Linked DNA regions of Nothobranchius furzeri. The protein of the gene in region 2 purifies or fractionates together with the protein of the main gene of each other region. This does not show direct contact. Links are inferred from orthologs where the notes say so. Each region holds a gene or a part of one and is shown on either strand. Other genes may lie near its edges.

Evidence for each region. The genes of interacting proteins can lie anywhere in the genome.
Region 1: the proteins of itsn1 (region 2) and eps15 purify together in Homo sapiens (co-immunoprecipitation; 3 studies listed by BioGRID and IntAct, with this or other methods). This does not show direct contact. The link is inferred for Nothobranchius furzeri from reciprocal best matches to the Homo sapiens genes ITSN1 and EPS15.

Annotation. Positions count from the first base shown.
Region 1 is NC_091748.1:56,887,644-56,891,779, forward strand, and holds the start of eps15 (epidermal growth factor receptor substrate 15), read right to left. Parts: upstream 2,936-4,136; 5' UTR 2,921-2,935; coding exon 2,765-2,920; intron 510-2,764; coding exon 468-509; intron 44-467; coding exon 1-43. UniProt on the Homo sapiens protein: Involved in cell growth regulation. May be involved in the regulation of mitogenic signals and control of cell proliferation. Involved in the internalization of ligand-inducible receptors of the receptor tyrosine kinase (RTK) type, in particular EGFR.
Region 2 is NC_091752.1:40,932,766-40,936,414, forward strand, and holds part of itsn1 (intersectin-1), read right to left. Parts: coding exon 3,449-3,649; intron 3,367-3,448; coding exon 3,192-3,366; intron 3,106-3,191; coding exon 3,019-3,105; intron 2,941-3,018; coding exon 2,792-2,940; intron 2,708-2,791; coding exon 2,628-2,707; intron 2,551-2,627; coding exon 2,378-2,550; intron 2,299-2,377; coding exon 2,253-2,298; intron 2,107-2,252; coding exon 1,985-2,106; intron 1,841-1,984; coding exon 1,717-1,840; intron 318-1,716; coding exon 123-317; intron 1-122. UniProt on the Homo sapiens protein: Adapter protein that provides a link between the endocytic membrane traffic and the actin assembly machinery. Acts as a guanine nucleotide exchange factor (GEF) for CDC42, and thereby stimulates actin nucleation mediated by WASL and the ARP2/3 complex.

The DNA of each region.
Region 1 (4,136 bases), on a different chromosome or scaffold from region 2:
CCGCATCAGCTGCCGCTACCCGCCCGCTGCCAGTGGGATCCACCTGCATGCACGCCCACAGCAGCATGTTTAATGTGCATGACGCTCGGATGCACAGGTTCTGAATAAAGAGCCTGTGTCTCACTTTAACCAGAACTATTATAATCTCTGTAGTATTAGCTCAGCACTCCATTAGAAAGCCCAGAGGGAGCTTCCCTGAATGGTTGTCAAAGGGAAACATTATTAATTCATAGGCTGGAAAAGAAAAGGCAGAAGAGAGAACTCACCAGTGAAAGCTCTACAGCTAATTTCAATTTTAAATTCACAAAAGCAACAGATAAAAACGGTTGTTCTGTGTTAGTCTGTTTGAATTTGACACAACTGAATGACATTGGTTAAAAAAACTACTGATATTTAAATTGCTATAATAAATATTCATGCTTATAATATAATTTAACAAAGGGAAGAGGAGTGGTCGTTTCCATTACCTGTCGATAATGTTTGTCATAGATGGGATTTCCACTGGAAAGCTGAAAACAAATAAAAGCATGTTTGTAAATTTTGCAAACCTCATTTGATGCGTTTCATAGAGTCCAAAACAAAATTTTAAAGTGTCAGTTACAAAAACCTAAAATGTCTGTATTTCTCTAAGAAATCTTTTTAGTTTACAAATTTGAATAAAATATAATCTGGCAGCTAGAGAAAATCAGTCAGAAGATCAAAAACTGAAAACGTTAACCACAGAGTTTAAAAAGCCACAGAGCCACTAGAGTACATGCACCAGTAGATTTAACCTTTAAATTTAAAATATTATAAAGCCTAAAATATGCCACAAAATGTTAGCTTATCCCAGAACTGATCATAATTAATCAGTAAAACCAAAGACACGTTGAAGTAATGCCACTTTTGTGAAGAACAAGTGATGCCACTACTGGGATTCTTGATTGTTGAATAATTAGATTTTCACTGTTACAGGTTCTAAGAGGTGAGTCTTTATTCATGCAAAAATTAAATGACAAACATATCTTTGTGTTTTTTATACAAAGCAAAGTTAATCATTATTTTCTGGTGATGAAACTGCAAAGCAAGGCTAACTGATACTAAAGCTCTGAGCTGAATTACCATGACGATACCTTCTGGAAGCCTGTGATTTGTGTTCAAACTAAGCCACAAGATGTTAACACTCGAGAGTAATTTGCTTTTCTGATGTAATATCCCTTCTTTCCTCTTCTCATCTGAGCTAAACAGGAAACAAATCAGCATTTCCCTGTTTTTAAACTAAAAATGCTAAATGGTAGCTTCCATGAAATAGAGAAAAGGAGTGGACAGCAATTATCTGGTAAGTGGATGTGCTGAGGAGCAGTCTTAAAAGCTTTCCTTCCATCTCCAAACCAATATGAAGATGAAGAAGAAAACAGCAACATCAGCTTAGGAGTAAATTATGTAACCAACTCTGGCACATAAGAAAAAAAACATAGCCTGTCATCAGCAGTTGTCTGTCAGCTACTTTGGACAACTAAATGCCAATTTTAAAGTGAGATAACTGTTGACGCGCGCGCGCACACACACACACACACACACACACACACAGAAATTGTAACACAGTAGTGTGCCTGGAACTATCGATGGCTGTGACACTGTCATCATTGTACTGCACTCTTTAAAAAGCCATAAAGTGAAAAAAAACTATAACCATTATTGCATAGTTCATTCAAAACTTTGGCATTCAACAAGATGCATCATGTTGCATTTGTTAACAGGACAGGCTGGTTTCTCTTTGACATTTCAACATGTTTGATTGTCACAGCAATAAAATGGTAAACAGTGTCAGCAGAAACATGGAGGTCAGATTAGATACTAATCAGACAAGAAGCAGCAGCAATGAAGAGAAAACACAGAGACAACGCTGCTCCTGCTCTGTTGACAGAGGCAACAGAGGCTCGGGTGACCATACCAATTAAACTTGCCCGCTACCTGCTAAATAACTTACAATTCACCAACTTTGGGTTCTTCACCCAACTAGCAACAGGCTTTTACTTCTGACAGCAGAACGAGCTAGTGGCTGCCATAGTTAACTTCCTCTTACTGGTTTCAGAACGACAGTTTACATTATTTAAAGCTGCACTACTAAAAATTAACTCAACGTTTACATTAAATAATTGAACATAATAAAGTCTGTCCACTTCAAAAATGTCAAAGGAATAAAAACACATCAACCGAAGCACGTTTCATTCTATTTATAGCCATATCAAGTGTAACCATGCAGACAGCCATGGGAGTAGCAACGTAGCTTATAAAGCACACGAAAGCAGAAGATGCAACACAACATAACTAAAACTTGGAGCGAACGTTAACCAACTAAAATATGACAGCAGAGCCACAACAGAGAGCCACACATGGTTATCATCTTCTTAGCAAAGACCGGCTGGCCTGCGGCTAACAGAGGGTGCGCAATGTTGTTTTAAAGACTGCTAACCAAAGCCAAGTCACGTTAGCTAAACGTCAAGTTTGACAAAGAAGCCCCACTAACAGCCCCACACTGGACATAAACTAGCTGTTAGCAGGCAGGCTAGCTGGCTAGCTACGCCCTTACGCAGTCCCCAAAGAGATTAGACAGAAACTTTTCGCAGCAGGGCTAAAACTTCCCCAACACCGACGACGGTCGAGGAGAGCACTCGTTTCCGCCCGCCCAGTCCGGCCAGCACCACTGAGTTGGGCGCAAGTAACGCGGACAGAAGCCCGCGGCGTTCGTTGTCGTTATATTTGAGTTGTAAGACACTGTTACCTGAGTAAGAGACAAAGTGGCAGCCATAGTGTTTCTGTTTCCCACTGCTTTCAGGCTGCGCTGCTGCCAGACACAGACAGAGGCCGCTGAAAAACCTGGAACCGGACCCGAAATACAGAGTCGTCCAATCACACCCACTAACAGCAGGCCAGTCATTTAACCCTGGGCACGCCCATCGACATAATATACGGGCACACCCAAAAGGAGGCCCGGGGGCCCTTAGTGGCCCTCGGAGTGATTTTGTTTGGCCCATAGACTGTTTGGCCTCATTATTGAATTTCTAGAATGGTGGGATTTTGTCTCTCCTGCAGTCTGGTGATGTAGATAGAAACTTTGAGATTTTCATGATCAAACATTTTTATTAATGTGTATATTTTTGGTGTTTTGAACCATATAAAAACATAAAATAACTGCAGCATTATTAAAAAAAATTCAGTTGATTATTTTGCTCTTGAAAGGGTTGGACATTCCAATTTAAAGAGCAAGTCACTCCTACCAGACTCTTAAGCCTGGGGCACACTGAAGGCAGACGCACCGCACCCGCGCCGTCGTTTTAAATAAAAGCCATTATAGTTAATGAGAGTGGGTACACAGGGAACGCCGCGCGGCGTCCCAGAAGCGCTGTGCTGCACCTAGGCACTGAAGACAGGTGCCAGTTTTATCTCAAGTGCCGCGGCGCAGCTGTTTACAACATTGTGGAGTACTTTACAACAGACATTACGACGTGGAATGGCTTTACGGCACAAACCCAACCACAGTTTTGATAACTTCAAATTTAAATAAATAGCATACTTACCCATTTTTAATTAATTTGAGTCTCACAAAACATGACAGCAAGTCTGATCATGTATAAACAATAGAGTCACTTCCTTATTTCTGTTCTCAAGTCCAACGTGATGTTGTGACTATTACGCGACTTTCCAAGAAGCGTTCAGCAGCTCCGCCTGTGTGACCACTTGACTTCTCAAAATCTCGAGAGTGACGCAGCGCGTCTCCCTCCGGCAACAAATACTGCTGCCTGGCAGACCAGCTCAGTGACCTAGTGGTAGAGTGACCGCCCTGAGACTGGGAGATCAGGGTTCAATTCCTGGTCGGGTCATACCAAAGACTTTGAAAAAATGGGACCCAATGCCTCCCTGCTTGACACTCAGCATTAAGGGGTTGGACTGGGGGGTTAAGCCACCAAATGGTTCCTGAGCACAGCTGTGTCTGCAGCTCACCGCTCCCCCAGGGTCAATTGCGGAGAACAAATTTCGCACACCTCCTCCTTGAACCGTCACCTTATTGTGGTGGAGGAGTTTGAGTGCCCTAATGATCCTAGGAGCTATGTTGTCTGGGGCACTTAGTGCCCCTGGTAGGGTCTCCCATGACA
Region 2 (3,649 bases):
GTGTGTGTGTGTGTGTGTGTGTGTATTTCAGTGTGTACATTGTATGTTAATTTTAGGACGCTCTGTGTGTGTGTCAGTGTGAGACGCACTCTGCAGGGAAGGCTGTGTGTGCTTGTACTCACACTGTGTGCTCGGATCAGTGTCTGTGGTCAGCTTGACGTAGTTGCTAGGAAACAGGCCCTCTCTCCCATTCAGCTCTCCTTTCCACCAATCACAGTCATCCTTGTTGAGCACTGTGATCACCTGACCCTTCTGGAAGGCCAGCTCGTCGTCGTTCTGGGCCACGTAGTCGTACATGCCGATCACCTGACACAGACCTTCAGGACAGGAAACAGGGATGATTAAAGCTGGATTGTTTACATTTATTCATGCAGCAGAAGCTTTGATCCAAATGACCTAAATTCATAGTTCTCCTGTGAGAATACACCGGAGTACCGAAGAAAACCCACATGCAAGGGGACAACATGCTAGCTGCAAACCGAAAGGATTCTTTCTTGGTCCTTAATGTAAAGCTGTAACTGTGACTGGCTCTTGCTGCTGCCACTGGGGGCAGGCTCAGAAATCAGAGCTCTTGGTTGTGGCTTTGTAGAAAGCTGCTTTGACAAAGTTTTATGAATAATGAACAGTACAGCTAATGAATCTTTAAGCTGTGCTTCTTGTCTATCACAAACTCCCTTTACCTTCTTTGGGAGACAGAAAATTAAATCTGGTATATATATATATACACACACACACACACACACACACACACACACACACACACACCAGATTTATATATATAGACATGCACGTTTCCAGAATGTCTAACTGACTATTGATGCTCTTAATGGTTAATAGTCAGTTAACCGTAAACGGCATGTAGGTGAGGTCTGGCTGAACCGTGAGTGAGAGGGAGTGCCTGTTGTTGATCTGACTGTGAATGCTCATGACATTTCATTTGCTGTCATGCTCAACTGCTACTAAATTACAGGTGAAGGGCACGAAAAGCAATTAACTGGACAAAGCTGTTATGTTGGGACAGCAGTAGCTCAGGAGGTAGAGCGGGTTGTCCAGTAATCGGGAGGTTGCAGGTTCAATCCCTGCTCTGGCCAGGCTCCATCATGTCCTTGGGCGAGACACTTAACCACCTTGCCTGCTGGTGGTGGTCAAAGGGGTCGGTGGCACCAGTGTTCAGCAGGCCTCGCCTCTGTCAGCGCGCTCCAGGACAGCCGTGGCTAAGCGTAGCTCATAATCATCAGTGTGTGACTGATTGTGTTGTAAAGTGCCTTGGGGGGTCGTACAACCCTAAGAAGGTGCTATACAAATACAGGCCATTTATATACACACAGTTATAACTGTTATGACCTCTGTGGCAGTTTCAGAGACGTGCCAGCCAGGACAGTCCCACAGCCGACAGATACCTGGAATAGAGCTCATCCAGAGATGACGTTTGACCACTTTAGCAACATCTGCCTCACAGACGGATCCATCCCAGGTCTCCCAGGTTTGGGTTGTTATGGTTAAGGAGCTCCAAAATGTATAACTCTCTCTTCCTTACCACCTTACAGCAGAAGTCTGTATCTTGCTTCCTCCTACCAACACTCATGAACTACACGTCAAGACTCTGCTTGAGGAAAAGACTCCACCCCGCTCCAGGGGACCTATTCCATCTTTTTCCTGAACCATAGCCCCAAATCTAAAACGGCACACAAACATGTGTTCTGGAGTAGTGTGTACCTGTGCTGGCAGGAGCCAGTTTGGGAGGAGTTGGTTCTGTTGGTGTGGTTTTGCTGGTGCTTGGACTCAGAAGCTTCACATAATTGGCTGGAAACCAACCAATCTGGCGCTTTTTCCCTCGAGCCTGGATCAGTGAAGTGACCACATATCAGACACTAATCCACAAACCTCATAAAAACAACAAAAACCTGTTCCATTCAAACCCAGTTTCTTATAGGGAGGTAAATAACCAAGTCAGACTTGACGCATGTGAACATGACTTGAGTACCTGGAGCTCGCCCTCCCACCAGCCCCCGGGGTTCTTTTTCCTGATGAGGATGAGCTGTCCTGGAGCTAGCGTCAGCTGCTCTGCTCCTGTTGCCGTGTAGGCTGCAATCACCTGAGCGATCTCTGAAAAAGAGAAGCGGGTTTGTTTTCCTGCTTTGGAGCTTTAACTACAAAAGTTATTTCCAACAGAATGCAAGGTAGATTCAGAGAAAATGAATTTACATCATTAGAGAAAAGTAAAAGGAACTCTTCAGGCTGTAAGCACTGACCTGGTTTCTTCCCCAGACTGCCGGTCTTCCCTGCGGGTCCCAGTGACTTCAGATAAGGATGTAGAGAGATTACAAACATTTCTTTCAAATGATCTGGAAACTAACTAATCAAAGTGAGCTCTCACTTCTATTGATGAATCGCGTGGCTTAACATAGTTGGACGGAAAGACTCCAGTCTTTCCTCCGACCGTGCCTGTCCACCAGTCTCCTTCCTTCCTGGTCACCATGACGATGTCTCCTTGCTGGAAGCTCAGGTCTCCCTGTTCTGTGCTCTCATAGGTGTACATGGCCACATATTCTGTAGGAAAAGAAAAGTAAAGTGTAAATAATAGATGCGTTATATTTGTGATGTACTGAAATGTTTCCATGAGGTACCTTCTCCGGTGTCGGAGGATTTTGTCGGAGAAGATGAGGGGCGTTTTCCATTGGGTGGGCTTTCTGACATTCCAGATTCACTAAGAGATGTGAGACATACGTAAATTCAAACTTTTGTGACTTTCATGGGATAAATATGGCGAGAGCGGAGGTTTCGACCCTACCTTGTGTTTTTATTTCGAGCTACAGTGCTGGGGGGAACGGTCACGTTGGCCGAGATGAGTTTGACGTAACTTTTGGGGAACCAGCCTCGTTGTCCATTCTGAAGTTCTCCCAACCACCACATGTCCTGCTGCTCCAACACTGTTATTATCTGCATCAACATTAACATCCACGCCATCAGGCAAATGTACAGTTTCCTGTTATCGTGTGGCAGTGATGAGGGTTCTACCTCGTTTTTGTTGAAGTTAAGGTGGTTGTCCTTCTTTGCTCTCCAGGGGTACAAAGCCTGAGCCTGGAGCCCTTCCACCTTCTCTCCCTGACAGACAGATATCGCAGCTCATGGTCATCTGTGACTCGTGTGATCAATGACTTTATCAATATCTGAGACAATGTTTCCACTACCTGTCCTAGTACAGGAGAGGGGGAGGAGCCTGTTGTCATAGTTGCAGGTGTGAAGGCGGAGCGTTGTCGTAGCTGTGCAGATGGAACACTGAGAGATGGATTCTGATTGGCTGAAGAAGTTGGCCAAGCGTCCCACCCTTCACTGTCTGATTGGCTTGTTGTGTTTGAGGGCCATCTGGAAACATTTACACAGAAAAATCTTCATTCTCATCCAAAAAGTTTTTAAGTCAGATCATGTTGTCGTGTGGGGGAATTACGTGGTGCTGAAGTCTGCCCAGTTACTGTTGCCAGATGATGTGGATGAGGAGGTGTGTCCAGGAGCCGGAGGGGGCGTGGTCATGGGCTGCGGGGCTGAAGTGGGTGTGGTTGAGGAAGTGGAGCGGAGGCTGATTGGGGCTTCGCTGTCGGGTATACGCTCTGCATAATTAGCTGGAAACCAACCGGTCCTGCCTCTGAGC